Linked DNA regions of Arabidopsis thaliana. The protein of the gene in region 3 interacts with the protein of the main gene of each other region in a pairwise test. Each region holds a gene or a part of one and is shown on either strand. Other genes may lie near its edges. The genes, in order: AT3G24490, AT4G12850, FRS5 and AT3G59470.

Region 1 (7,136 bases), on a different chromosome or scaffold from region 3:
TACCGTTTAACCGAGGGAGCTTGTCCTGAGAGCTACGGACTTCAAGTGGCACTCATGGCTGGAATACCAAACCAAGTGGTTGAAACAGCATCAGGTGCTGCTCAAGCCATGAAGAGATCAATTGGGGAAAACTTCAAGTCAAGTGAGCTAAGATCTGAGTTCTCAAGTCTGCATGAAGACTGGCTCAAGTCATTGGTGGGTATTTCTCGAGTCGCCCACAACAATGCCCCCATTGGCGAAGATGACTACGACACTTTGTTTTGCTTATGGCATGAGATCAAATCCTCTTACTGTGTTCCCAAATAAATGGCTATGACATAACACTATCTGAAGCTCGTTAAGTCTTTTGCTTCTCTGATGTTTATTCCTCTTAAAAAATGCTTATATATCAAAAAATTGTTTCCTCGATTATAACAAGATTATATATGTATCTGTCGGTTTAGCTATGGTATATAATATATGTATGTTCATGAGATTGGTCAAGAGAAATACTCACAAACAGTATATTAAGAAGGAAATATGTTTATGCATTAATTTAAGTTTCAAGATAAACTGCAAATAACCTCGACTAAAGTTGCAAAGACCAAACACAAATTACAAAACTTATAAGACTTAAGTTCTGAATTCCCTAAAACCAAAAAAAAAAACAGAACATATTTTGTTGCATCTACAAACAACACAAACCTACATAGTTTATAACTTACTCATCACTGAGATTAACATCAGAATCATTCTCCATTTCTTCATCTTCACTCTCATCATCATCACCACCACCATGATGATTCTCCTCCTCTTCACGTAACCTAGCAATCTCACTCTGAGCTCTATCAACAATCTGCTTCTTCTGCAACTCCAAATCTCTCTGAAAATCAGCTCTCATCTTCTCCAACTCCTTCATTTGCTCTTTCTTACTCTTCTCCATCTTCTCATAAACCTTCCCAAACCTCTCAACAGAATCCGCCAACATCTTATACGAAGCAGCGTCATTAACCTTCTTCCTCTCGTACTCAACCTCATCATCCTCATCCTCCTCCTCTTCAGAATCACCAGGACTATCCATCATCTCATCAAACCCATTAGACTTATCTAAATAAACCTTAGTGTTCATAAACACAAACTCACCTGAATCAACACCACAAGCTAAACCTAAATCCGACTTGGGCGAAACACAAAGCAACATATCCAACTTATTGAAAAACGACCATTTACTTGAACCTAAACCTGATTTCTCAACCTTAATCTTCTCTTTTCTATACTTCCTCTTCAAGTCATCAATCATTCTCCTACATTGCGTCTCAGATTTCTCCATCCTTAGCTCCTCACTCACTTTCTCAGCTACTTCATTCCAATCCTCGTTCCTCAAACTCCTTCTACCCAATTGCAAAAACCTATCTCCCCAAACTTCAAGCAACACAAAAGCTTCTTGCTCTCTCCAATCATACGCAACTTTAGCATCACTAGGACCAGCAAATTCAAACCCAGAAACTACTTTGTTTGGTTTCTGTCTCTTCTGAAACCTCTCATTTCCACGAATGTATCCTCCTTGTGGATCTTCCTCTTCTCCTTCGACTTCATCTTCGTCTTCTTCTTCATTGTAATACGCGTGACGCTTAGGTATTGGTCTACTATACATTGGATGGTTTTGCCGATTCAAAGAGTAAAACTTTTTTGGGTATCCTGTTTCATCTTCGCTGTCACCCATCTTTGAGCAAAACCCAGAAAAGCAAAAGAAGAGAGAAGAAAGGCAGATCTAGGGTTTCAAATCGGACAGATAGAGATTTACCTGATTTTTGCACCTAATAGAGGAATATCTTGGAGGGTTTAGCTTTGAGAAGAGATAAGTAGAAGAAATTGATGAGGTTTATAAACCATGGCCGTGTCTAGGGTTAGGGATTTGCATTTTCAGCCGGGTCGGAGTAGAAGAAAAGCTACCACCACCGGTGAACATTGCCTCAGCCAGCGACGGAGTTTTGTCGCGGCGTTTGTTGGGACCATCCACTGGGTCATATTGGGCCAGTTTGGACAGCACTAATGGGCCAAGAGGACCACAATTATTTAATTTTAACCGATAGCCCAAGAGTTCCCAACTAAAACTAACGATCATTAAGAAAAGGAGAGTCTAAACTCTAACGAATATCAGCTTTGGTGTCGGTTAACTTATGACTTATGGGGTCAATTTCTGACATTTAGGGTCATAATATTTTGACCTTTAGCGTCATATTGGCTCAAAGGATTTGAAGCTGTCGATTTTTGGTGGGTTCGAAGATCTGCGAATGCAGTTACTGATCGACTAGCTAAAATGGGTGCCATTGAAACAATATGTTATTTTGATTCTCTGCTTTATATTCTTAAATATGCTACGTATGCTTTTAATTAATCTGAATAAGTTCAAAAATTAAAAAGGGCTAAGTTTTATTTTTCATATCACGGTGTTATTACTGAACTTGCAAGAGTTTAAGCTGCAAGAATATGAATTGCATAAGCATCTACTATGGGAGCCTCGGTTGTGGGAAATCTCCATGTGTCACATTATGATTCATACGTTTTTGAAAAATGTGAAAGTGTATCCCAACGATAATTCATTTAATACACTATGTAACGTATAATTTTTTAAATTATTAATGATGAAATCTTGTTTGAAGATGATAGTATTAAATTAAGTGGACTAAAATAGAGAAATGCCAGAACTCTTTATTTAATAATTGTTTGTTTCTGTGTTTTAATATAAATAAATGAATGTTATGCTTATTGCCAATGAAAATGTCGACCACGCTTCAATGTTGGTGAGTAATTATTATGCATCAAAAAGGAAGTAAGTATAACCTTAATGGAAATGATCATGGTAGTGATAAGGATCATAAATAATCGCAACGAATTTTGTTGCATCAATGCATCATACTATTGAATAACTAACACTAGTCTCGTACAATTTGATTTTAGGTGTTTAAATCTCGTTAGTGTAAATATAACGAGATAAACATTTACAATACAAAAAAAAAATTGAATTGTGTGACCTTGTAAGAACAGATTTTCGAAAAAAATTAAGAGTTGAGTCATTGATATGAAGAAGCTTCCAAGACAATGATATATGAATTGGTTAGAAACAAGAATTAATATTAATCATAACTCTTAAGTAACTCGGTCATTCCCACATTGACATAAGTAAAAAATAAATTTTAAAAGATTTGATACTTGAGTTTGGTATTCCTGCTAAGTAAAAAAAGAAGAAAAAGATTTGATACTTGAGTTGAGTTGGCATTGTGGACTTTAATTTCGTTTGAATCTCATTAACATGTTAGGCTTAATTATAATTAAACCTAGACGATTGACCTGTTTTGTGGGTAGATGTACCAATATATTTCAATGATTATAAAGGTTTAGTTTTGATCTCTAAATTTTCAATTTTTTTTAACAGTTTCATTTATAAAAAAAATTAATACAATTTTTTTATAAGAAAAACAGTATAGTTTAAAACAAGCTTTAAAAATTTCAAGTCTCAAATCAAATAAATAGAGATTGTTTTTTATGAGACAGTAAACACTACAACATCAACTTTCTTATAAAATATAACAAATTGTTTTACAAAATTCAGTAGGTAGAGTCAGACAGGTATGTATTCGTATAATTTTAACTTTTCAGATTTTTTTCATTAATGTAACTCATAAAACGTTTAAATAGATTAAACAGTGACATCTCATAATTACCTAATACTGATAAAGCAACAAACAATTTTAAGGTAATAATATAGTATTTTTATAAAACGGTTGAGCTAAATATTTGAGATACATACTCATTGTTCTTTAGTATCCAGTACTACTATTTACACAATCAACAAGAACAACAAAATTGTGATATATATTACAGTTCCTCCACATGAAAATAATAAAGTGAAGTAACGGTCCTAGGCTCCTAAACGGATATCTTGGGAGAGAGATGTGAACAAACTTGAAAATTCGTATGAAAGATTTTTGATAAGCCAATCATATTACATGTCACAAGATATCGATGAAGTGAAAATAAAAATGAAATTAGTATTTTATGGTTGGAAGGTCGCGTCGAGAACATAAGTGTAACGGAGAGAGAGAGTCAATGAGTGATCATAAAACCGTTACGAAGTTTCTCAAGTCTTTGACAACAATCTCTTTCAAACGCGTTATGAGTGGTTACGTTCGCTCACTCCAATGCCAACTATGTTGCTTTCACCAATTTTTTGTCTTTTGTCTTTACTTTGAGGCTTTGAGCATTTATTTCTTAATCTTTTATTTATTTTTATTTATTGATTTGACAAATATATAGTCCAAAAGTATCTTCGGTGATTTTTTTGGTAAGGGGATTCCTACGAAAGCAGGATGCTCTATTGCCAATAATATATATAGTTTAGTTAATTAATGAGGAAGTTTTTGGTCTAGTGTTAAAGATAAAATGTTTGCCAAAAAGTTGTAAAGCACTTTGATTTACATGAGATTCCAAATAGAAAAGACTTATTGGATGGAGAAGAAAAGAGAAATTGGTTATAAAGGATTTGATATTTAACCAAAATAAAAATTAAAAAACAAATTTGATGGGACACTGACTTGGTCTCTTGGTTAGAAGAAAAGAGATTTTGGATGGTCTGGTTGCTAGTAGATGATCTCAACCATAGTGGTCTGCTTCACCTCACTGGTCAAATGTTCATCTAAGCACTAAGATTTTGTATTTCTCTACGCAAGAACTTTTATTCTGTGTGAGCTTCCAGATTCATTAGTACTGGAAGGTAAAAGTAACTCTGATACATACTCAACTAGAGAATGAAGTTCACATATCTATAGAAGGATAGAAAATACAACTAATAGCAAATGATCATATACTCTAAGAAATAATTTCTTACCTCATAAGAAGATATGACAACCTTGTCATCTTCACAATTGCATGATATTTTCATAGTACATAATGTTACATACAATTATCAAAAATAGACTATAGAGTCTTTATTTTTTAAAAAAATCGCCAAATTTATAAAATTGTATGATTAGTTGGTGAAAAAAACAGAGATGGCTAGAGTGTATGAGAAACATAATGAAATGAATAATGAATTAACAAGTAACACTTGATGCACACACAAAAAAAAGAAAAAAAATCAAGGAACACTATTTTTTTGTCAATCATAATGCATTACAAATATAGAAAAGGTTTGTGGTGTATCATCCATTACAAGAACCCGATAATCCTAGAGATACAATAGCGTTATAGTAAATGTACATGAATATTTTGCTAATTGATCCGTCATTTACCATCGAATCTTCTAGGGTTTTTGAATTCTTGTGCATGGTTCTCATGAATCACATCTAGTCTATTAAGGAACATTATCTTCCTTATAATTACATTAACAAGACTAAGCATATAATAACAAAATACTTAATTTTATTTTATTCATTTTCTTTAAATTGAAAATGGCAGAAATAAAGATGTTGCATTGTTGGCTCAACAAGAGAAACTCGATAACCTATATTCAAATGTACAAATTATGTTTAAATAGTAATTAAAAGCATTTGGGTTCTTAAGATAATGAATGAATGTTCACACAGTATTTAGCGCACAATCAAGTGGACAAAAGACGTTGAAGACTTCATGGGAAACTTACCATGCGACCTACCTAGTTATTATAACTTCTTTCACTTGGCCTCCTCATATAGACGAAGCCGGTAACAGATGAAAATGTTGATCACCTCGTTCTATTATTTAAATCAAAAATTCATGACAAAATTTAACCGCATAGCATTGTTGATTTAACAAGAGAAGTGATAACCTAGATTCAAATGTATAATTTAGGTTTTAAGAGTAATTAGAAGCACTTGGTTTTTAAGAAAGTGAATGTTTGAGTATTAAAAATAGCAGTTGGTTTAAAATTTAAAAAGAATAAAACAGTACCAATCGTTAGATCATTATAGTTTTACTAGCATATTAAGAAGTGTTGCGAGATTTGTGATGAGAAAAATAGTGGTTACTTTCATATAAGCTCAGGTGAGAAATCTATATGTTTCTCCACGGAAAAGAATACTATGCATATTATGCATAATTTCCAAATTTATATACAATACGTACAAATCTAATAAAATAATCAAAAATATGTATATGTTTGCATGGTTCACTCTAGATCCTCCATACTAAGCTCCTTCATCAATCATCAACGGCTGATTTTTAGTGCAACACTTTCACCTTTTTCAATATTTTACACTGTAACAAGATCTGAATACTTGTATAATTCCTTCATATGGAGACACGATCTCGTGAATTAGTGAAGTTTGCATTATTTATGGGACCTTTTGGCCCACAAGAAAAAGTGTCAGGATACAAAACTTGTGTGTATAGGACGAGTTATACATACTTCTTAAACTAGTTTGAATGTTTAATATACGTCTCGACTCACTCTAGATGACTTCAATTCCTTCACATTGTTTTTCAACATAAAAAACATATGACTTCTTAAAAATACAAATTCAAATACTCTATTGTAATTCGGTTCTTACAATTCTTTTTGGCTATTGGCGAAATGTGCTCCTTTTGGCACGAATCATTAACATAACTTTATTTAAAAACTTCATAACGAATGTTTTACATGATGATGTACCATGGATACCAAGTAAATTTGAACAGAAGTGATTATGCAAAAGTAAAAAGCATATGGTTATTTTTCTACATATTTGTTTCGTTAAAGTAATATACTATTAAATTCGACTATCCAAAAATCGACACATGTCGGCGACCTAAAAGCCTCGAACATCCCGCTGGTCTATGAGAACATTACCTGATGTGTCAAAACGTCCCCACACGGTGTGCTTCATTGCGGCAATAACTAAGAAAAAGCTCCAAAAGCAAACTTAATTAGACAACTAATCTTTTGATTACTAAAGCGATTCGTTTGGTCCTCCTTCTAATGATTTTTATAAAACCTGGTAGTTAGGCTGTTAGGTGTCGCGAAATTCTTATAATTTATTATAAACCTTAATGGAGTCGGTTATCAAATTATTTGTATCCATGCTTTATAATAGTGTATGGGTTTGTAGAATGAATAAAAGATTCGAAAATGTATGGGTTTTATAATAGTGTTTTGGGTTTTTAAAACAGTGTTATACTTCTACATATCTTTTATGAAATCA
Region 2 (7,382 bases), about 10 Mb from region 3:
AGATTTCAGCTAGCCGTTGAAAATATGTAAGATATGTAAGTAGCATTAAATTAGTTTTTGTAAGTTTGTGTATATGTTATCAGAACCAATTAAATATTTCTCATTGTATATGTTTAGATGGACTATGAGTCTATGAATGAACATTCAATACGGTAGCAGAACCAAAACATGGGATGTGTTCTAGTCCGTTAAAATATGTTGCCGCCATCACCACTTACTAATGGCCAATGAGGCTCGACAAAAAAATAAACCACAAAAATACATTAATCCAACCTGAATATTGTTCAGACATATTTCATCCCAAAAAAATCTAATAATTTAAAAGAGACGTTAAAAAATCCCACAACGAAAATGTGATGAGATTTGTGAATCAATTCACTTATTGCCATTTATTATTGAATTAAAATGTCATAAGATATAATGTAATTTGTAACACGTTTGATATGAATATTCATGTTTTCAGATCTGACAGTGAGAAGTAGGGGTGGGTATAATACAGAACCCGATTACCCGATCCGAACCCGATCCAAAAAACCATATTCAAAACCAACCCAAAATTTATGAATACCCGAACGAGTTCTAAACTTCTAAATCCTAAAACCCGAACCCAATCCGAACCCGAACAGATATTCGAACATATCCACAATTTAAATACATATTATATATATATATATATACGAGTGGCCCATTTTGAACAGGAACATGAATTTGATATTAACTCAAAGATAATCACTATGCAAGAAGAAAGGTCAAACATAAACCCTTGTGACCTTGAAGATGTGAGCAAAAATTCATGTGAAGACCACGCTTGAGGAAAATTCAAGTGATCGAGATGTTGCTAATTCTTGTTCTTTTGCAACCTTAGAATCAGGGACAGAGAGTGTACAAACACTTAGAATGAGTCTAGAATCAGGGACAGAGAGACCCATAAGACATGCTTCTCAACATTTCTGGTGCATTAAACGCTTTTGTTGTTGCTTATTAACCTTTTTTTTGTTAAAATTGTTGCTTATTAACCTTGGTAAACAATGCATGCATCAAAAAATGAAGTTGATATTCAGCTTGATCTGAAGAGTGTTCTTTACTCAAGGTGTTGTAAGAATCATCATAAACTTAATAGTTAGAACTAGGGTTGGTTTAGCTTATCTATTGTGTGTTATTTTCTTGAGTATATTTGTGAAGAATTACATCCAACCTATCAATTGGCTACTTATGTAAAAAGTACTCAAGGTTTATGAATGGGTTAAGGAAGCTAGATACTTACAAGGTCTCTTTTTTACGATTTTACGTGGAAGGTTGATTGCAACAAATTTCATAGTTTAATTCTTTTGTTTATCAACCTACAAATGAATATTCGATGTAATTCAACATGCTACTATTTCGTGTCTCCATTGCTCGGCGAGTAATTATGGTTAAACTAGTGGGGTTCTCCTTAATTGTGTCAGAATTAGATGATTCATAGAGTCTATTTCAAGGCATATATAACTATTTTTAGCCTGAAAAATGAAAGATCCAAAAGTGTTGAATCTATCAACAGAATCCGTTAAGCTCTCTCTCATCTGTCTTTTCTTTTAGTAAAATTTTCTGTCTTCTCACGACGTCCTGTTTTGTTTAAACTGTTACAAGATTTCACTTGCTTAGGCTTCCTTTTAGAATCTATGTGTTGATCTTGATTCTTCTTCTCCATTAGTTTTTGGCTTAAAGATCATCAAGGTTTCAATAAAGAATGGATCGTGGAGAATTGAGTAGAGTGTTCCAAATGTTCGATAAGAATGGAGACGGGAAGATTGCGAAAAACGAGCTGAAAGACTTCTTTAAAAGCGTGGGAATCATGGTCCCTGAAAATGAAATCAATGAGATGATAGCAAAGATGGATGTGAATGGAGACGGGGCCATGGATATCGATGAGTTTGGATCATTGTATCAAGAAATGGTGGAAGAGAAAGAGGAAGAAGAGGACATGAGAGAAGCCTTTAGAGTATTTGATCAGAATGGTGATGGGTTCATTACAGATGAAGAGCTGAGGTCGGTGCTCGCGTCAATGGGGTTGAAGCAAGGGAGAACACTTGAAGATTGCAAGAAGATGATAAGTAAGGTTGATGTTGATGGAGATGGTATGGTTAATTTTAAGGAGTTCAAACAAATGATGAGAGGTGGTGGATTTGCTGCTCTTAGCTCCAATTAAACATTCCCTTTTTTTAACAATAATTTTTGTATAGATAATTGTATGTTTTGAATTTGCCTAATTAACACTAGTTTTCTGCTAAAATAATTGAATGTTCAATGCTAGGACAAACTATGATCTAAGGAGGAGCAATCTTCGGTATTTTTCGACAAATGCTTATAGATGAATCAAGCTCTTGTTTGTATTTGACATTCAAGTTTCTTAACATTCTCCACAATATCTCGAACTTTAAGTGACAATTCTTCCGTATAATGTTCAACATTATCGATAAAACTCACCAATCGATCCCGATACACATCGCATAATCGGTCCTGACACTCGATCTCCTCCGTAAGCTCTTTAATCTTCCTTTCCTTATCAGCCTACAAAAATAGTAACACAAATCTCTCTGCATCAATCATCCAATTCTTGTAATATCAAAGCAAAAAGACCAAAAAGATGCAAACTTGGAAGACGTACAAAGGAAAATCAAGTAACCAAGTCTTGTAATAGCAAATTAAGACCCAAAGATGCAAAAAAAAAAAAAAAAATGTAACATAAACCTCACTTTCTTCAAGCAACCAAGTCTTTGTAATAGCAAATCAAGATGACCCAAAGATGCAATATATGAAGACGTACAAAGGAATTTCAAGTGTTTGTAATGGCAAATCAAGTAACCAAATCTTGCAATAGCAAAACAAGAGACAAAGCTGCAGAAACACAGTAACAAAAATCTCTCTTTTTCAACCACCGAAGTCTTGTAATAGCAAAACAAGACCCAAAGAATCAAAATTTGACGACTCAAAGATGCAAAAAACAATAACACAAATCTCTCTTCATCAACCAACCAAGTCATGTAATAGCAAATAAAAAAGACCCAAAGATGCACACTCTTTCTTCAACACATCAAGCCTTGTAGTAGCAAACAAGAACCAAAGATGCAAAAAACAGTAACACAAATCTGTCTTCTTCAAGCATCCAAGTCATGTAATAGCAAAGCAAATCAAAAAGACCCAAAGATACAAACTTTGAAAACGTACAAAAGAATCATAAGAAGAAGACCCAATGAATTGAAGAGAGTGATTGTGTTCTTTGATGAATCTAGTAACAACCCATTTCCCAGATTTCTCCATTTTCACCAAAATCGTAGCTTTGCAACCTTCTCGTGAACTAGAACTAGAACTAGATGATCGTTGATTATTAGGACCAAAGCCTTGCTTGTTACAACCTAATCTTCTCGCTAGTGTTCTTCCATCAATACCTGATCTTCGTCTCTGCATCATACGCACAACAAACCCTAATCTTTTGGAGTATTCTACATAGAAATCTTTAGCTTCTTCTTCTGATTCGAATTTCAAACCTACGTAAGGTTCATCAAGTTTCAGATCTCCGGTCATCATCGGAATAAGCCAGATCCAACTCACAAAACAAAACCCTTTATGGATCGAGTTCGTTAAGTTTCAGATCAAGCTCTGTTAATCCGGTATGTTTGATTCACGAAATTAATCCGGTTCTATTTTCCTAAAACTTAATCCGGTTCGATTTTTCTGAACATTAAACCGGTTTAATGTATCTTACGAACCGGTTTAATGTATCTTACATTGCTCCTCATATACCTTAATCCAAATTTTATTTTCTTCTTCAATGTAGATGTAAATGAATAACTTTATCCTATAAAGATAAATTTGACCCTAAAACAATTTGTATAATTTTCCGAGTGAAAAGAAAATTATTTGTTATATTATTCACCCTAATTTTCTTAGATCTTTTCTCTTGTAACAAATCTAAGCAAAAGCTGGTCACATGGACATCGCATCATACGTTACTTATATAAAGTGGAGAAATGCATAGCAAAACAATACACGTGCGAACCTTTAATGACATTTGGTCACTCATTTTAAGCCATAAAAACCTTCTTTTGCGACGATTCCTACACGCAAATTTCGATTTCGAATTTAGTAAAATATCACTTTTGTTTAAAACGGTTGACTTGTTGACCTTCTTACAGTAATTGCTTTCATACCCAATTTTATTTTATTTTCCTATTCGAAGCTAACTTTAAGGAACTAAAGTAGTAGTTATAATTTTGTAAAATAACCAATTCTGACAAAAATAAGGTATTCTAACACTATGACTCTACACTTTACTTATTTGATTTTAAAGAAAGAGCTTCGCTATATTTAGACCACTGTTCTTGAAAAATGAACAAGAAACCCAAGATTTTGAGCTCTGTAAGCTTTTTTCTCTTGCTCTTCGTTCTTTTCTTCTTGTCTTGTTTAGTTCTTTTTGTTTGTCTCCCATTTTGCCATTTCTGGATTCAAAAGTTGTCGAAATAAACCAAAAAAGTTCTGAAATTTCATTAGCTCAAGAATCCAATTGAAGTTTTCAATCATGAAATTTCAAGTCTTTTATCTTCTTCATGTGTTGATGTTCTACTTATATGCCCATTCTCTACGAAACTGTGGATCGTTATGAGTTTACACAATTAAAACTCTCAAGTCTTTCACAATCTTGAATCTTTATTGTGGCATTGTTGTTCAATGAGATCATACTACTTTCCCTATTAATGTCATTTTGTGTGTGTTTGGGTTTAAATACTGATTAGGTTCTTGTGATTTGAGTTTAATGTGTTATGGATCTTCTTTATTCGTTGCCTTTTCAGGGATCATTAAGTATGAATCAAAAACGAAAGGGCTTGTCTCTTCGTCGCTTGTTCTCTTTAGTGTTTTTTCTTGCAATGATCTTCCTTATAGGGAATGCTTTTATTACAGTAGACTATAAAGAGGTATGAGTTCTTAGACTGCAACTTTTAAGCATTATCTTGAATCTGAATAATGTTATAGAACAGTTTTGAGTGTACTAATTGACAGGGTATCGCGGGATGGAGTTCGATAATTAGACTAAATCTTGCTAAACTAAAGATGTGCAAGGTCTGTTGAATAAGCTGCTCAAAACAAAGTTCCCTTTCTATATGAATCTTAACATTTTTTCATGTTGCTTTGCTTAATTAGACACAACTTAGGCCTCCTGGTAGCGAGACGTTACCGCGAGGTATTGTTGCAAGTACATCTGACTTGGAAATGCGACCGTTATGGGGAGCAAAGCGCGATAAGGTATCTTTACCTGTTGCCAAACGTTCACAAGTTTCTCTGTTGTCATTCCTTTAACGCTATATTTTCTGTTTTTGTTTGCTTAGAAACCGAAACCAAGCTTATTAGCTATGGCAGTTGGAATAAGACAAAAGGAAAGTGTCAACAAGATTGTCAAGAAGGTAAAACCTCGGACATTACCTTCTCGGTAATGAAACAGTTTTGATGTGATATCTCTGTTTTTCCACTTTCTTATATGGCAGTTTCCATCAAGTGAGTTTGTTGTGATGCTGTTTCACTACGATGGTGCTGTGGATGAATGGAAGGAGTTTGAGTGGAGTGACACTGCCATTCATATTTCTGTAGTAAACCAAACCAAATGGTAACTGTTCTGTTATAATCGTAAAACCCGACGAGGATTTTTTACATTTGGCTGTACAGTTTGAATATGTTTGTGACTCTTTTAGGTGGTTTGCAAAGCGTTTTCTACACCCGGATATTGTCTCAGCTTATTCTTACATTTTTCTATGGGATGAAGATCTCGGTGTTGACCATTTTGATGCTAGAAGGTACAATGTTATACAAAGAATATATTGTTTGTCACTTGGTAAAGATGTGGTATCTAATGAGATGAAAATTTTCAGGTATGTTTCAATTATTAAAGAAGAAAAGCTTGAAATATCACAACCTGCTCTTGATCCCAATTTCTCTGAAGTGCATCATCAACTTACCTCACGAGACAAGAAATCAAGAGTACATAGGTACTTCTCTCAAGCTCCAATAGAAAAAATTTTAGCAAAGAGAAGAAAAGAGATTGTAAGAATGAATCTTTTTACAACGTTTTGATGTTTAAAAGGAGAACATACAAAGTCATTGGTCGGGCGAGGTGCAACGAGAATAGCACTGGACCTCCTTGCACAGGGTAAAAGAACTGAATCTTCATTTCCTTCTTCAGTGGAAAGCATAACTTGTTCTTAAACTCATTAAAAAAAACTCTCTCCTACAGATTTGTTGAAATGATGGCTCCTGTGTTTTCCAGAGCAGCTTGGAGGTGTACATGGCATATGATTCAGGTATTTCATATGTTTGAACTAATTATGTTACAGACTCATGAAGACCATCAACATCTGGATACTTGACTTTGTGTTTTTTCTTTTATAGAATGACTTAAACCATGGATGGGGTATAGATTTTCAGCTTGGATATTGTGCACAGGTAAATTGTGACTGAGCCAAGCTAATATGTACATTCTTTTATTTGTTGGTTTTGTTTTTTTCTTAGTATTGTTGTTGTTGCTTGGCATAGGGTGATCGAACCAAAAATATCGGTATTGTTGATTCCGAGTATATACTTCATATGGGTCTTCCTACATTAGGAGGAGGTTCAGCTGAAAACAAGGTTTGAAACTGGTTCTCTTGTCATTTCTTCATACTAGTCTACATGAGTTTTATTTAGGAAGTAATTATAGTTACTGTGTATAAGCAGACGGATTCAGGGAAGCTCGATAAGACCAAGACTCCGCATGCTGCAGACAAATCATCATCAGTGTCAACTGGTAGAACTGAGGTAAGTTTCTAACCAGTTTGGTATTTAAAAAGATGATAGAGTGCTTTGTTTTAGCTAAAATCTCTATTCAAAACAATGATCATTACCTAGGTTCGGAAGCAAACTTATGTCGAGTTAGAGACTTTTAAACATAGATGGAAAAATGCTGTGAAGAACGATGAGTGCTGGATAGACCGATTCCAAACATGAAAGATTGCTTGTTGTGGACACAATTATACATATATAGAAAGCACATGCATACCTCAAGGAAGCAAAAGAGAAGGTATACATGTAGATCAAGCTACATTCTTTTTAGGATGTTACAAATTTGTACTAGAGAACTGGAGAATCTCCTACTTTATAGAGCCTCAAAGTTAAGCACAAAAATCTTACTGGTGACTTATATGTAATGTACCACTGGAACTAGAGTATGTTTTGAATAAAGCTGAGTTTATACAAATGGTTCTTTACGTTCTTTCAATATTCTTGTGGAGTGGTTCCAGTTAGAATAGAGCAGATTTGCTTATGATTCTTGAGATTATTCCTCCAAGTTCCTCTCCACAATCTTCTTGTACATGATGGCC
Region 3 (8,531 bases):
TTCAACCATCATGGGCAGCCTGTTCTTTTTGGTTGTGCTCTCATACTCAACGAGTCTGAGTCCTCCTTTGCGTGGCTTTTCCAAACTTGGCTTCAAGCAATGTCTGCTCCCCCTCCTCCTTCTATTACAGTTGAACCAGATCGCCTGATACAGGTTGCTGTTTCTCGAGTTTTCAGTCAAACCCGCCTTCGTTTCAGCCAGCCCCTCATCTTCGAGGAAACTGAGGAGAAACTTGCTCACGTCTTTCAGGCTCATCCTACCTTTGAATCCGAATTTATAAATTGCGTTACTGAGACAGAAACGGCTGCCGAGTTTGAGGCATCTTGGGACTCTATCGTCAGGAGATATTATATGGAGGATAACGACTGGCTCCAGTCCATTTATAATGCTAGACAACAGTGGGTCCGTGTTTTCATCCGAGACACCTTTTATGGAGAGCTGTCTACAAATGAAGGAAGCAGCATTTTGAACTCATTCTTCCAAGGGTTTGTGGATGCATCAACTACAATGCAAATGCTCATAAAACAGTATGAGAAAGCAATTGATAGTTGGCGTGAGAAAGAACTGAAAGCAGATTACGAAGCAACTAACTCTACTCCAGTTATGAAGACGCCCTCTCCCATGGAAAAGCAAGCTGCTAGCCTCTATACAAGGGCAGCATTCATCAAGTTTCAGGAGGAGTTTGTTGAGACCCTTGCAATTCCTGCAAATATAATTAGTGATTCAGGAACTCACACTACTTATCGTGTCGCTAAGTTCGGAGAAGTTCACAAAGGTCATACTGTCAGTTTTGACTCTCTTGAGGTGAAAGCTAATTGCAGCTGTCAAATGTTTGAGTATTCAGGGATTATATGTAGACACATATTGGCGGTGTTCAGTGCCAAAAATGTTCTTGCTCTTCCATCTCGGTATCTACTGAGGCGATGGACCAAAGAAGCAAAGATTAGAGGCACTGAGGAACAACCTGAGTTTTCAAATGGCTGTCAAGAATCTTTAAATCTCTGCTTCAACAGTCTACGCCAAGAAGCAACCAAGTATGTCGAGGAAGGTGCCAAATCTATTCAGATCTATAAAGTTGCAATGGATGCTTTGGATGAAGCTGCCAAGAAGGTTGCTGCTGCAAGTAACAGAACACCTGGAACTAGGCTTCCCAATGGGGAAGCTTACCCGTCCGAGGAAGCTCGAGAAACAGCAAATGCAACGAATCATCCAGGGGTAAGCGAATACTGGTATTTGATAATTCTTTAACATTGATGTCCTCTGTTCCTTGGGAATAAGTACTTACTTCAATGCCAGGGTGAAAAAGAGAGGACGATACTTGAACTGACAGCTGAGTTGGAGAGGACAGGCCAGCGATGTGAAGTTTATCGAGCAAACCTGCTGTCTATTTTGAGAGATATGGAAGAACAGAAGTTTCAGCTATCCCTCAAGGTACAAAATGCTAGACTAAGCTTGAAAGAGTGAGTGCAATCTGCTGGATACATAACATCACAATTCAACTCACGTACTGTGGTTGGTAACTTGGTATGCAAACATTTATGGGAATCAACTTCATGCTCTTACTCAGTAAGGAAATGATTGGGAGTACAATCTATTACAAAGGCTACCTACTGTAAGAACAGGGAAATCCTGAAAATTGGGTCCCTCTTTCAAAAACCCTATAAGAGATATAGTACATGAGCAATATGTTATAGATGAGAATAGCAGTCGGAATTTGTTGCTTGTTTCACAGATTATCCTTCAAGCTAATTTTGATGTTCTGCACTTTGATGGACACTTGTAACTTTTGGTCTTCCATTTCTTTCAAAACTGAAAGTAGGTTAGTCCTGTAAGCTTCGCATTTCCTGTTTGCTAATTCCAGCTCGTTTCTGAGCTGATTAATCTTCTTGTCCATTTCGTCCTGCGAAAGTAGAGGAAATACGGTCATGCAATTAGTCAGCAGTAAAAGCACATAGCAAAATTGAGGACCTTGCAGATTGTACGGAACAAAGGCTCACAATGGCAAAATGAAGACCATACTCTTAACATGCATATGTGAATCACGAGCTCATTAGTCAAACGTTAACAGAGCAATCAGCATTATGGTACCGTCAAGGAGACAAAGCAATGATTGTATTGTATGGGGCAAACCCGCACAAACGATACTTCAAACGTATATAACTATTTTTTAGAGCAACAAATTTGATTGCTATTATATCAAAAAGAAAACAAGTATCGAAAAGAAAATGATCCTCACCTCGGGCTCAGGTTGCGCCAGCACTTCTTGCTGATGTTTTCCACCAGTTACAGAACTCGCTTTAAAATGCCTGTTCGCCATAGTTCTTCTAACTTCCTTATTCATTGCCAGGGACACAGTCTTGGCAGCTTCTTGCAGAGCAACAACTGCGACATCACAAGTATACAGAGATTTTCCAGCTTCTTGCACAAAATTAGAAGCTTTGTGACGTAAGGTGTTGTATCGGACGGTATGAGACTCCAGGTAATTAGCATACGCATGCAAATTATAATCATCAAATATAACACTGCTTTTGGCATTTCTGGTCCATCTTTTTAGGATGTAGTAAGGTGGAAGTGTAAGGAGATTGGTGACCCGGAAGACTGCCAATATATGTCTGCAAATGATGCCAGAGAACTCAAACATCTGGCAACTGCAATTTGCTCTCATCTCCAAAACGTTGAACTTAACGAAATGAGCCTTGTGAGCCTCTCCATATTTCGCAACCTGGTAGGTAACAAGATCCCCATCATCGTCAGCTTTGGATGCCATGAAAGTCAGGGTTCCAACTAGTTCTTCCTGAAATCTCATAAACAACTTCCTTGTGTAAAGTTCAGACGCCTGCTTCTCCATTGGAGATGGAGTCTTCAGAACAGGAGGTGAGTTCATTGTGTCATAATCTGCTTTAACTTCTTTCTCGAGACGACTCTCCAAAGCTTTTTCATACAGCTTAAAGAACTGGCTTAGATTGGTTGAAGCGTTTATATAACCATCAAAATATGAATTGATACTATCACTACGATGAGTTAAGGACATGTCGGCAAAAAAGGTATCACGGAGATATACTGGGACCCACTGCCGGCGATCGGAGTATATTGCTTGTAGCCACTCATGATCTCTTAGCTCATACTTGTCAAGAAGTGAAAACCAGCATCTCTCAAAATCCTCAACCGACTCTGTCAGATTGACACATTTGTGGAAATCTGACTCAAACGAAGGATGCTTGAGGAAGACATGCGACAGCTTCTCCTGACATTTCTTTAAAATATGCCATTTGCAAAAGCGATGGCGGGCACCAGGAAAAACGTGCATGATGGCTGCACGTATAACAGCATCATGATCGGTGGTGATTGAGACAGGAGGGTGGGCGGACATTGCGGCTAGCCACGTATTGAAAAGCCATACAAATGAAGCCTCAGTTTCATTGATGATAAAGGCACAGCCGAAAAGAATGGGTTGGCCATGGTGATTTACACCAGTGAAGGGTGCGAAAGGCAAACGGTACCTGTTGGACCTGTAGGTTGTATCAAATGTAACGGTGTCTCCAAAGTGAGTGAAATCCATTATAGCTTTAGGATCAGCCCAGAAGACATTACCAACAGACTGATCTTCGCTTCCCTGAACAGAATAAAAGAAGTTTGGGTTGTCAGCATTCATCTGCCTCAAGTAGTCAAGAAGAAGCTGAATCTCTCCTTCTATGCTCTTCTGGCGGTTGTTCCTCATATAATTCCTACAGTCCACTTCGGTGAAACCAACCTTGCTGATGCCACCATACTCTTTGATGAGGGCGGACATGATTCTGCGGGGACCCATTCCTGCAGCTTGAAGTGTGTCAATCAAAGTCTTGGCAGGGCCAGAGATTTGCCTGTGGGAACGCAGACAGTGAACTTGGTCGGGAGGAACAAGCTCATGGTTGTGGTCTTTGACAAAGCCAGAGACAAGCCATTTACCGGAATCCTGCATCTTAACAGAGAGGGAGGCTTTGCAACCGACTCGAGTGATGGTCCTGGGACGCTTGATCTCCCTGTCCTTGGTGCGCTTTTCATTCATATTTCTGAAACCTTCTTTGGCACAGACAAATTGCCTCTGGATGATAGCTCCATCACGGCGGGAGCGGCGGGAGGAACTGACACGGGTACTAAAGCCAATGCGACGGGCATACGAGTTGTAGAATGCCTTGGCAGCTTCTTCGGACTCGAATTCAAGACCATCATAGGGCTCGAGATCCAGGAGATCACAAGCCTCCTCCTCCTGGTTGGGAAAGTAATTTCCAGAATTGCCAACAAGACCATTACCGCAAGGCATAATTGGGCTGTCGAGCATATCATCGTCGTCGAGAGCATGGTGCTCAATATCAATAGCGTCGTCATCAACATCTCCGCCACTACTAACTCCTACACCAATATCGAAGTCGAGCACTTCATTATCCATCATATCCTCCTTGTCTTCAGGGATGAATTCTATCTATCTATTGTCCACAACAGGATGAAATAGCTAGCTACTGTAGATAGAACCACTTACAGTCGTGATTTGATTTCAAGTCTGAGATTGAGATTGGGAGGCAGCGAAGACGAGGGAATGCGCGTTCGTGCGCGGGAGAAACCAGAAAAGAAGAGATAAGGGAACTTGTAATTGATTACGTTATAATAACCGAAGAATGAAAAGGAAGATGAGAGACGACGGAGGAGGGAGACTGGGAATAGAGTCGTCGGAGGGCACGGAGGAGGAAGACAGACGGTGCTTCTAATTCTCTTTTTTTAATTTAAGCAAGGCCCATTCCTTCTTCATTTATTTTATAAGGCCCATTCCTTCTTCATTTATAATTTTATAAGGCCCACTCCCTCTTCATTTACTTTATAAGGCCCATCCTCTTTTACGCTTACCGTATGGTTCACTATCAGTTGCGAGTGGAGGAGAGGAAAAATTGACTTTTAAAGACGAAATGATTGATACAAAGGCTGATTTATACAGTCATGACATCTCAATCCAGATATACATGTAGTTATCTGAAAATTTACTACCAGGAACAAAAACAAAAACAAAAAGAAACAAAGATAGTATACGTATTAATTTCTTGTGATTAGTCTACAAAACTCTCAAGTCGCCTATATGAATGCTTTTTTAATTACGGGAATTGAAAACCACCGCCTCCAACACCCTCTGCAGCAGCTGCAGGTCCGGTGTTTGGGTTTATGGCCGTCCACAGTAGAGAGATGGTGATGGCAATGAGACCTGCCCACACAAAAACTATGGTTGGAGTTTTGCCTCTTCGTCCCATCAATCCTTTTGCAAATGGATACAAATGCGCCAACACCCAGAAGCTGAAAAATGCTCCTCCGATTAGCTTGCTCCATTGTGGCACCGCTTGGTATATTGTCCTGATGAACGCCACCACAATCGCTATTATGTTCACCATTGCTATCACTATAGGCGGTATCATCAGCGACGACCATTTCACTATGTACAAATCCGCGTATATGTCTTCATTGTCATCTCCCCCTGACTTGGTCGTCAAGGTAAAGGAGATCTCGATCCCTGCAATCACTTTGAGGACTCCTTGGACCACTGCGTAAAGGTGAGAGCTTGTTCCTGAGATGAGCCACCACTGTTCGTTTCTCCACCATTCTTCCAGCCCAATGCCAGACCACTTGACCTCCAAAACCGCCAATCCAATCAAACAAATGGTGATCATAAGAAGGTAGACCAAGAAGGAGATACTGAGCGTCCGCACGATGAACTGTCCAGAGAAAAGAGAGAATGCCGGAAGAAAACAATAGAGGATGAGAAACAGAGACGTGAAAGGGTATATCCCAACATTGAGGTATGCGAGACGTTGGAGGAACTTGAGACGTTTGGAGGCGAGAATGGCGTTGTTTCTAGAGAAGAAGATCTCAACAGACCCAGTGGCCCACCGCAACACCTGGTGAAGACGATCCGTGAGATTAATGGGTGCAGAGCCTCGAAAAGAATCTCGCTTAGTTATGCAGTAAACCGAGCGCCACCCACGATTATGCATGCGGTATCCTGTGACCACGTCCTCTGTCACCGACCCATAAATCCATCCAACTCTATCTCCCCACTCCGTTTTATCCTCATACCAACAAGAGATTACAGAAACAGACTCTGCGACAGTGGTAGCATCAAGTGGGTCACGAGGGACTCTAAGGGCTCCGGGAGGACGACCGTACTTGACAGCCGGGTGGTCTGCCAATGGACGACCTTGGAACTCTGCAATTGGAATTGACTCAGCTAGGAGTGTGGAGTTCCCAAAGCGCTTGGGGAGTTGTGTGACATCAAGGTCCGGGTCAAAGTCACTGGTGGTTAGAGCCTCTGTTTCTGATTCCTTCTTCTCAAGAAGCTTGTCAGGGTTGGGTGGATCAAAACCATAGAGAGCAAAGCGCCTAAACATAGTACCTGTTCCAACATAAACTGGTCCCTGGAAAAGAAAAACAGAGAATCATTTATTTTTTGGTAAAGGATCTTTATATATATATCTGTCTATAGTTGGTTTGCATTGCATCAAAAATAAGTATATATACAGTACCTGGACACCGTCGAGAGCACGCATATTACCGTCAAAAAATACAGTGTTATTGTTAGCATATCTATCAGAAGGATCGATGCCTTCGAATCTTTGCGGAAACTGAATGTAGCAAATGTCTTCACCACCTCTGTCCATCATAAAACACATCCCTTCTCGTACGGCCTTACAGTTATAGATGTAATGATCACAATCAAGATTAAGGATAAAAGGTCCATTTGAGAGGATAGCAGAGGCACGAACAAGTGCATTCATGGCTCCAGCTTTCTTGTTGTGATCATATCCAGGCCGCTTCTCACGTGACACATACACAAACATGGGTAAACGAGTGTCCGTGTCTGAAAAATCAATGACTTTATCGTCGCTATTTCCAATTAATGGATCGCTGCTAGGTGGTTTCAACATCACCTGGAGAATCCCAGCATGATCACCTTTGGAATGCTCTCGAGTAGAGGCTGCCCAAGTTCCTGGCCAGTGGGTGCCATCTGCCATCCACGTGGCTTTGGGGACTTTCACAGGCTCTGTTGGATCACCTCCGCTCTCCCTCATCTGTTTTAGAGCTTTCATTTCCTCCCTTGCATTAAATGCATCTGACCTCCTCCGTATTGAGTCAGGGAGGCCGTTGATGCGAACCTTGAATTCATCATACTCCCTCTTAATCTTTCTTCTGTCCTTGACAAAATCAATTCTGCTCTTATTCTTTGTTGGATCTATCTTCAAACTGAAATACGAGTCTGGATTTCGAGGCTCAATGTTATGTTTGCGACAAAAAGGTACCCAGAGATCCGCAAAGCTAGCAGCTTCTGCCATAGCTTCAAAGGATAGAAGAGCTCCTCCATCATCAGAAAGATAGCATGACACCTTCTCCACCGGATAATCAACGGCCAATATGGACAGAATCGTGTTGGCGGTGACAAGGGGCGGCTCTTTCTCTGGATCTGCCGTTGACACAAAAAGGTCAATACCTGGGAGATCCGACCTCCCTGTTGGGTTGGAGGGAGAAGGCATGTCAAATTTGTCACGAAGAACTTCCAGGTCAGTGGACCGGTTTATTGGACACAACTTAGGGATCTGGTCTAGAATCCATGAAAATCCAAACCAAAGCTCGCATATTATAGACATGAGCCATAACCATATTGCGTCTTCGTTAGGATTTCGGATCCTCCAAGTTAGAAAAAAACATAGCACGACAAAACGAATGACGATTAGTAATCTGTAAGGACTAATGATGGCGGCTGGAATAGGGATTCGTCGGCTCAGTGGCCGCCATGGCTTGTCAGCTGTTTCCACCATGCCGCCTCTCATCCCTTCATCCATATCATCGCCATACATTTCGTCTTGAGGCCAATACGCATTACCGTACCCATATGTGCCTTGCGTCTCGAATAGCCATCTGTTGTGATCAAATTCACCGTTTTGGTTCCTCTTCATCATAGACATGTTGTTGTTGTTCCCACGTTGATCTTTCCCTGGAGCTGGTAAGGGGAGAGCACCACTAGAATAGTCAGGCGTATCGTCATCTAGGTCCCCGATTTTGTATTGTTCCTTGCATCCTGGACAAAGGCCTGTCTCTTTCTGGGCGTCCATGAAGCAATCCCTACAGATCTTAAACCTACAAAGACAATCATCACCACGTTTGTTGGTTAGTTAGAATTAAACCTCATTTTCTTGTGCAACAAGTAAAAGATATCAATTAGTGTTTATTAATATATACCGGCATTCACATGGCATCACGTCCTTTCCTCTCTCGTCTTTCATGACATTTCCGTCGCAAGCAGGCATGGCACACGAAGAGCCTTTAGCGCCAGCCATCTGAGGGTGTGTGACATCTGAATCGATCACTTTGTCCATAAGATGTGCACGTGTTACACTGTTGAAACCACCAGTAAATAAAGAATTTGACACGTATTGCTCTTCGGCTTTGGTGGCCATGGGCTGATTGTCCGGCGTCGGAGGTATGTGCACCGTATAGTTAGAATAATCCCCGGAGAGCTC
Region 4 (7,075 bases), on a different chromosome or scaffold from region 3:
TGAGCCTAATAAATAAAGGGACAATTTATATGGTTCGACCAAACACTCGAAGTTTTTTGAAAACAATTTTGGTCAATTTCTACATTCGTTTTTTTTTTTGCATTACGTTCAATCATTTTTAAATGGCTTAGCGAATCAAGATGCTTGCATTTCGCATTAGGCAATAAAATACCAAATAAAGTGCTCTTATCTCCACTTCCTATGGAATCGGCCTTTTGAACTATTCAATGGTTTGTTTTGAATACTAATTGCTTTGTAAAAATAGAATATCACCACTTCTCATTATTGCCACATGTTTCTGATTTCAGTTTTCTATTTAAAGACCTAGAAACATATATACAACATTAGATACTAAGTTATCAGAAAATGAAGAACATTTCATTGATGTTCATCGCCTTGGTTGTACTCTTGACATCATTCCCCACTCCAACGCTCTCTTATTGCAAAGAGTCACTTCATTTATGCATGCAACATTTGAAGTTGAACGATAGACCCACGTGGTTGAAGTGTTGTGATAGACTAATAATACCAGGACCATGTATGTGTAAGTATATTAAAGATCCTGTACAATGGAAAGAAGCTTATCGTCTTATGGCTTCTTGTGGAAAGACTGTTCCTCTAAATCAAAGTCTCAAGTCCTATTTCAAGTGTGGCTAAAAATAGTCAACCAACAAAAGCAATAAGCGGTCGTCAAGCCGAACCGGAGATACTTAATAAGATTAGTTAATCAAGTCTTTCCTTGTCTTTTTTTAATCGTATAAGTTGTTGCTCTAATTGGCCTTCATTATATTTATGAACCATCTCTCCCACATTCCACGTTTTTCTTGCTTTTTGGAATTACTATTTCACTCTTTCAAATTCGATACTTTGTACTTGCTTTTATTTAAAGAAATAAAAAAGTAGTCTACTTCTATTTAAAGAAACAAAAAAAAAGTAGTCTAAACTAGAGAAAACGGCATGTACGCGTTAATTATGCATACATCCTTGGCCCTTGGGACTATTCTTGTGATTTCACTTCATAATTAACTGTCACACAAACATGGCCAAGATGGTATCAAGAAGGGAAAAGATGGTATCTACTATCTAGAACTCTCAGGCGTCCATTCTCGTGTTTGTGAGTTTATTAAAGGGTGTGGTCCCCGACTCTTTCAAATGTATTTATAACAAGTTTAATTAGTTCACATGTCGCGATTGTTATGACGACACAAGAAATTATCGTTTTCCCTTTATAACGTTGTCGTTACGAACTTCCTTAAATCCCCCAAAAAAAGTTTTGTTTCCTAATTATCCTATAATTAGTTGATGATGTTAGGGTTTGAAAACTTAATATAGCGAAGAAAAACGGTTTACTATACTTAATTATGAGCGTATTTTCTTTACGTTTGCCACTTTCTTTCTTTGCATGGACATTCACTAAGAGCGTGTGTTTGTGTTTCAGGTGATTCTTCGCTGTGTTAGACGTGGACTACTTCTACCGGTGTTCAACAATCTGGTAAGCTTGTCTTTTGGGAGTACGAACAAAAGAGGTTGGAAACTGCTGCCACTTCTGATTGAGCAGTCTCCAAAGCTTGAAACTCTAATCATCCAGGTACGTATCATTAGCTAATATATCTAAAGAGAGTCAGAGATTAGGGACTTAGTGGTTGAGCCTTTACATCCATCTTCTTGATGCTTTTCCAGGGGCTGGATAGAGTTACACAGGCGATGTGACCATGCCTCCGTTCCAAGTGAAGATGCTGCATGTTCATGGTTATGGAGGAAATGCGGAAGAGGTGGAACGCTTACATAAATTTATTGGGGAGTCGGAATGCGGTGAAGTGGTGCTAGGCTGCGGAAGCTGTGGTGGATAATACCATGTATTGCAAACCAAAAGGGTTCTATAGTCTATAGTTGAGGCTTCCTGGATTTTCGGTTTCATCCAAATGCAAGATCTCATGTAGTTTACCAAATTATTCTGTGTAACAATTCATGTACATGTCGCATTGCTCTTGCAGTTGCAAGGGCCTCTTTAATTTCAGGGAGCTATTTTTCTGTATCTTTTGGCAGTCTCTCCCTTAGATGATACACGAGTAACCTTACCTACCTCGTCAAACTCCACCTGGCATAAGATTAACATTTCTGTATTTGATGACTACATCGTCCCTACAATGCAATTTCACACTTCTTTCCACTCTTGCAGACTTTACACAATATGTGGTCCATTAGCTTGGATTTTCAGTTTCATCCAAGTGCAACATCTTAGACGATGAAAGGTGGTGATTAACAAGCTGATTTGATTCTTCACTTTCTGATTTGTGATCTTAAATAGAGTTTTAGGATTCTTCCAATCTGTAGTATATATAGCTTACTAGTTTTTACCAGCAGAAAGATCTTCAGGAGAATGCCGATTTAATTAGAGCGTAAAAAGTAAAAACCCTTCACTTTATGTGCACTAACCTATGGCTATGCATCATCCGAACGAAACCAATGTCAGAACAGAAGAAGAAGAAGAATAAACAAAACTTTCTTTAAGGCAATTGAAGCTCTTTTGTTTTCGACAAGAAAAATCTTTATTAAAGAGAGAAAATGGGGGAAGAGAAGATCTATCTCCTAAATCAAAGTGCTGAAAAACCAGAGACCAAAAGACTATACTTGGTGGTTCTGTTGATGATCTCTCTGTTCCAGATTCCTCACATTGTCTACTATGTGTTGGATTCTCTTAGAAAGGCTTTCGTTGTGCTGTTCGATCTGTTCAAATAGCATCTCCAGATGTCTTTTGTAAGTAGCCGCTCTCTTTTTCTCTGCTGCTAGCTGCTGCATCAGTTCCTGAATTTTGTCGTGTTCGTTCTGCAAATGAGGAGAGCAAAGTTTTAGAATTTAAGTCTTTTCTAGTAACAACTGATATATAAGCAAAATCAAAACACCAGCACATGAATATGAATATGCTATATAGCAACTAGTCACGAACCAGTATCACATCAGCATATATATATATATTAACCAGCTAACCAAGAAACGCCAATTTGGATTTTCAAATGCAATGGCTGAATATAAAGAAATATTGACCAACGAAAGAGAGTAACAACTAACCGGATATTGATCATAAATGCAACCCCTTCGAACTCTGCCAGGCATCAAAGAGTGATTGTGCTCCTTGACAAACTTTGTGATAACCCATTTACCAGAGTTCTCTTTTCTAATCAAGATCATTGCTTTACATCCAACCCTTGTTTCCGCTCTTTGTCTAATAACCTTATCCCGCTTGCTAGGCAACCTGTAACCTTCCTTGTTACAAACAAGTTGCCTGCCTATGGGAGATCCATCATGCCTTGACCGTGACAGTTTACTAACACGGATGACGAACCCTACTTTAGTAGCATACGCATTATAAAAACCATGAGCCGCTGCTTCAGATTCGAACTCCTGGCCAACGTAAGGCTCATCTCCTTGAGCCTCTGTCATATCTGCAACAGCCAGAGGAATAGAATCAAGATCCACCTTCTCATCTTGCTCACCAGAATTTTCACCGAGTTCATTATGGTTGTCATCATCTTGCTCAATCATTGCTTGACCAGAGCTTTCACCCATTTCATTATGATTCTCAACCGTGGTAACCTCAAGCTCAACAGGAATCCCCATCATCATCCCAGCAGCTACTCCATTATCAATCCTGAAATCCACTGCAACTCAAAAAAAGGGAAAACAGCAATTCCACTAATCAAATATCTAGCAAGAAGAGCTACAAGTGTTCATCATCTTACTAATACAAAGTTGTCATCTTTTCTATTCCACTGTCTAATTCAAGATATGAGAACAAAGCTCAAGTACAAGTGCTCTCAAAATCATCCAGCCTCCACCAACAATACAAAACAAACTTAAAATGGAACCATTCTTTGGGATTCACCGTCCCATAGATTCAAGAGTCATCAACAAATCGGGGTTTCCAAAAGTATCGAGATGTCCAACTTCTCAGTCTCATTCTTTCGCAGGGACTAGTCTAAGTGGCTTAATCGATCAATCCAAAATCGAAAATTAAAAACCCGAAATAATGGTGTAAGGAATAAAACAATCTTACTGGTCAAAAGATATTTTCCGGCAGATGTAGGTCGGAGACGACGATCGAATTAGGTTTTCGATTTGGGGGAGAGACAGAGAAGGTGCCGGTTCAGGGTATGGATTGCAGAGGACGCAGTACCCTATGACGTGGCGATAGATGATTGGGTCAAAATCGGAAAGAAGTCAACTCACCGTTCATCTAAGCTTTGGGTTTATCGACTTATGGTTCCTCCGGTGCGCTTCGCCTCGTATGATTATTCCTCATGTTCTTTTTTTTTCTTTCATTACATGTTTATTTTATTTTATTTTTTACAGCGTAATTCTCGCCGACCGACGCACCCGTTAGACCGGTGTGTCCATGACTTTTAATAAATGTTAAAATTGACCCCTTTATTATCCTTCATTTACATAATCATCCTTGTACTAACAAAATTTCTCTAATTTCTAGCATTCATTTTGTTCGTGTCAACCAGGCCAATTCAGCCGGTTTAATTAACTTTCTTTAAAATGCTATTGATAACCAGCTAATGATGGTTTAGTATACGATTTGACTACCAAACTACATTAGCTAAGTTTTTTTAATCATAGAAATTTTGAATAGCAAAAAACTTATTACATAGTAATATATTCAGTTACTTATATTTCATGATTTAGCTTATATCACTGTTATCATCGAAACCTATCCAGATAGTTTTAGGCATGACCACGGTTACGGTTATTACGGTTACGGTTTATTAACCACCGTATATGATTATAACTTTTTTTAACCTTAACATTAACCGTTATATATACGGTTAAAACGGTTACGGTTAAATACGGTTATGGTTAGATACGGTTACGGTTATTTGATAATTATGATATAATTAATATATGAGACAAAATATTATATTAATCTTTATAATAAAATAAATAAATAAATAGTGATATATCAAATAATAATTATTTTACGTGATTATGTGTTTCAAATATTTATAGCGAATCAGCTATCTATTTTTTTTAAATAAACCAATGAATATACAAATTAATGGTTATAATTATAATGATTTAATTAATTATATTTTTCAAACAAAAACAATAATAAAGAAAAGATGTTATGAGCACTAAGAAACAGTTTTTAGAGTATAAATAATAATAATATGAACTACTTATGATTTGATTTATGGTAAAAAGAGTAGTGGAGTAACTTCGATCGTATTAGTGGGCATATTAAACGATTTAAGTTACTATTTTAGTAAAATAATTATTTATTTAGAATTATACACAGTTACAACTATATTTTTAAGGTTTTAATAATACGGTTAACCGCGCGGTTAAACGTACGGTTAACCAACGGTTTTGATACGGTTACGGTTATTATATTTTTTTAACCGTAATGAATCTATTTTCACGGTTAACAGTTACGGTTATTAACCGTTTTATACGGTTACGGTTGGGTTACGGTTAATAAACGGTCCGATTACGGTCCGAAATACAGTTACAGTTAGATTTTGGTCATGCCTAGATAATTCGCAACTCTAGATTTTTATAGACATTATAAATCATCCACATATATATGAATCAGTAATCCAAAAAAAAAGATCTGTAACATATGGTTTTCTTTCGTTGCGTTTTAAAATATCCATTTTATTTAGCATTTATTAAAAATTCTCTTCACTTTTTTTTTTTTTTTTGGAAATCAATAAATCGCTTTAATTACGTGGAATAAAACGTCTAAGAAGAAGGATAGTCGTTAGTTAGTAGTGATAACTGATGCATAAAATATAACTTGGGAAATAGGAAACCAAATAGTGTTGGTACTTGGTAGATAGTCTCTGATAAATAAAAAGATCATACATGTCAAAGCTAGCCCCGTTTATAAAATTTGTAACAGATTTGCATTTCTCGATTTAGTAGATTTACATGAGATAATATCTTGTGTAATCGGAAATAAAAGTTATCCTAACAAATGAGATAATCGAAATTAGAGGAGGATATTAACATATTTATCCAACAACGGATATAAGCCCCTCGTAATTAACCTTGCGAAATTAAATTATAACAAATCATTCATTAATACATTTCGATTTTGGTAGATTTGCCTAAAAAATTATCCATGAATGGTATTTTATTGAAAAAGAAAGTTATCCAAAACAAACAAAATATTCGGAGTCAAAAGAGGAGGATTAATAGTATCTTTTACTCCCCTTAATAGTACTATCTTAACAACGGATAAGCCCCTAATAAATTAACCTTGTGAAATACGTCGTCTAGGTCCCATTGAAGAAGCATAAAATCTGGTCAAAAACATTAATCACTATTTACTCTAAATCTCACCAAATCATAACATATATGTAAACAACCAATAGAATATTACGATTAAAAAATAAGTTACCAAACACAGTTTAGATATCTTATCTGATCAATCTTTAAATGGATAAATTTGAATTTGTATTAATTAAAAGTCTTGTGGATTTGACTAAACCACTCACCCTAATACCTCTATATAAACCCTTGATTCTCTCTAATACCTCTCATTATATCCAAAACATAATCTCTCTCTATCTCTCTCTATTTTGCTCAATCTTAATCGTCCGATCAAAACACTCCGACTAAAAATGGCTGCATCTAACGGCGAGAAAAGCTTGATCGTGAGCTTCGGTGAAATGCTCATCGATTTCGTCCCAACCGTCTCCGGTGTATCCCTCGCCGATGCTCCTGGCTTCATCAAAGCCCCCGGTGGTGCACCTGCCAACGTTGCCATCGCCATTTCCCGTCTAGGCGGTCGTGCCGCTTTCGTTGGAAAACTCGGTGACGACGAGTTCGGTCACATGCTCGCCGGAATCTTGAAACAGAACGGTGTCTCTGCTGAAGGTATCAATTTCGACACTGGAGCCAGGACTGCACTTGCGTTCGTGACACTAAGATCTGATGGAGAACGTGAGTTCATGTTCTACCGGAACCCTAGTGCCGATATGCTCCTCCGTCCCGACGAGCTCAATCTTGATGTCATCAGATCTGTACGTTATTTTTATTTTTAATTAATATATGACACGTAGGCAAA

Evidence for each region.
Region 1: the proteins of FRS5 (region 3) and AT3G24490 interact in a two-hybrid assay, tested with the Arabidopsis thaliana proteins (one large-scale study listed by BioGRID).
Region 2: the proteins of FRS5 (region 3) and AT4G12850 interact in a two-hybrid assay, tested with the Arabidopsis thaliana proteins (one large-scale study listed by BioGRID).
Region 4: the proteins of FRS5 (region 3) and AT3G59470 interact in a two-hybrid assay, tested with the Arabidopsis thaliana proteins (one large-scale study listed by BioGRID).

What each region holds. Positions count from the first base shown.
Region 1 is NC_003074.8:8,905,588-8,912,723, reverse strand, and holds AT3G24490 (Alcohol dehydrogenase transcription factor Myb/SANT-like family protein), read right to left. Parts: upstream 2,303-7,136; 5' UTR 1,703-2,302; coding exon 701-1,702; 3' UTR 501-700; downstream 1-500. Other genes in the region: MSH7 (MUTS homolog 7), read left to right, coding at 1-306.
Region 2 is NC_003075.7:7,533,247-7,540,628, reverse strand, and holds AT4G12850 (Far-red impaired responsive (FAR1) family protein), read right to left. Parts: upstream 3,656-7,382; 5' UTR 3,565-3,655; coding exon 3,205-3,564; coding exon of another isoform or gene 3,148-3,204; exon of another isoform or gene 2,548-3,147; coding exon 2,353-2,547; 3' UTR 2,186-2,352; coding exon of another isoform or gene 1,727-2,185; 3' UTR 1,581-1,726; downstream 1-1,580. Other genes in the region: UNE14 (EF hand calcium-binding protein family), read left to right, coding at 1,727-2,185; AT4G12840 (GTPase Der (DUF707)), read left to right, coding at 4,366-4,395, 4,827-4,949, 5,035-5,094, 5,176-5,277, 5,361-5,435, 5,517-5,635, 5,721-5,822, 5,898-6,014 and 6 more; AT4G12830 (alpha/beta-Hydrolases superfamily protein), read right to left, coding at 7,302-7,382.
Region 3 is NC_003075.7:17,904,976-17,913,506, forward strand, and holds FRS5 (FAR1-related sequence 5), read right to left. Parts: upstream 4,769-8,531; 5' UTR 4,430-4,768; coding exon 2,237-4,429; intron 1,901-2,236; coding exon 1,727-1,900; 3' UTR 1,539-1,726; downstream 1-1,538. Other genes in the region: FRS9 (FAR1-related sequence 9), read left to right, coding at 1-1,215, 1,297-1,464; CSLD4 (cellulose synthase like D4), read right to left, coding at 5,121-6,431, 6,540-8,148, 8,251-8,531. UniProt on the Arabidopsis thaliana protein: Putative transcription activator involved in regulating light control of development.
Region 4 is NC_003074.8:21,976,474-21,983,548, forward strand, and holds AT3G59470 (Far-red impaired responsive (FAR1) family protein), read right to left. Parts: upstream 4,367-7,075; 5' UTR 4,056-4,366; coding exon 4,055-4,055; exon of another isoform or gene 3,660-4,054; coding exon 3,070-3,659; intron 2,827-3,069; coding exon 2,626-2,826; 3' UTR 2,337-2,625; downstream 1-2,336. Other genes in the region: AT3G59455 (Bifunctional inhibitor/lipid-transfer protein/seed storage 2S albumin superfamily protein), read left to right, coding at 367-657; AT3G59460 (F-box/LRR protein), read left to right, coding at 1,040-1,051, 1,439-1,588, 1,681-1,710; AT3G59480 (pfkB-like carbohydrate kinase family protein), read left to right, coding at 6,630-7,031.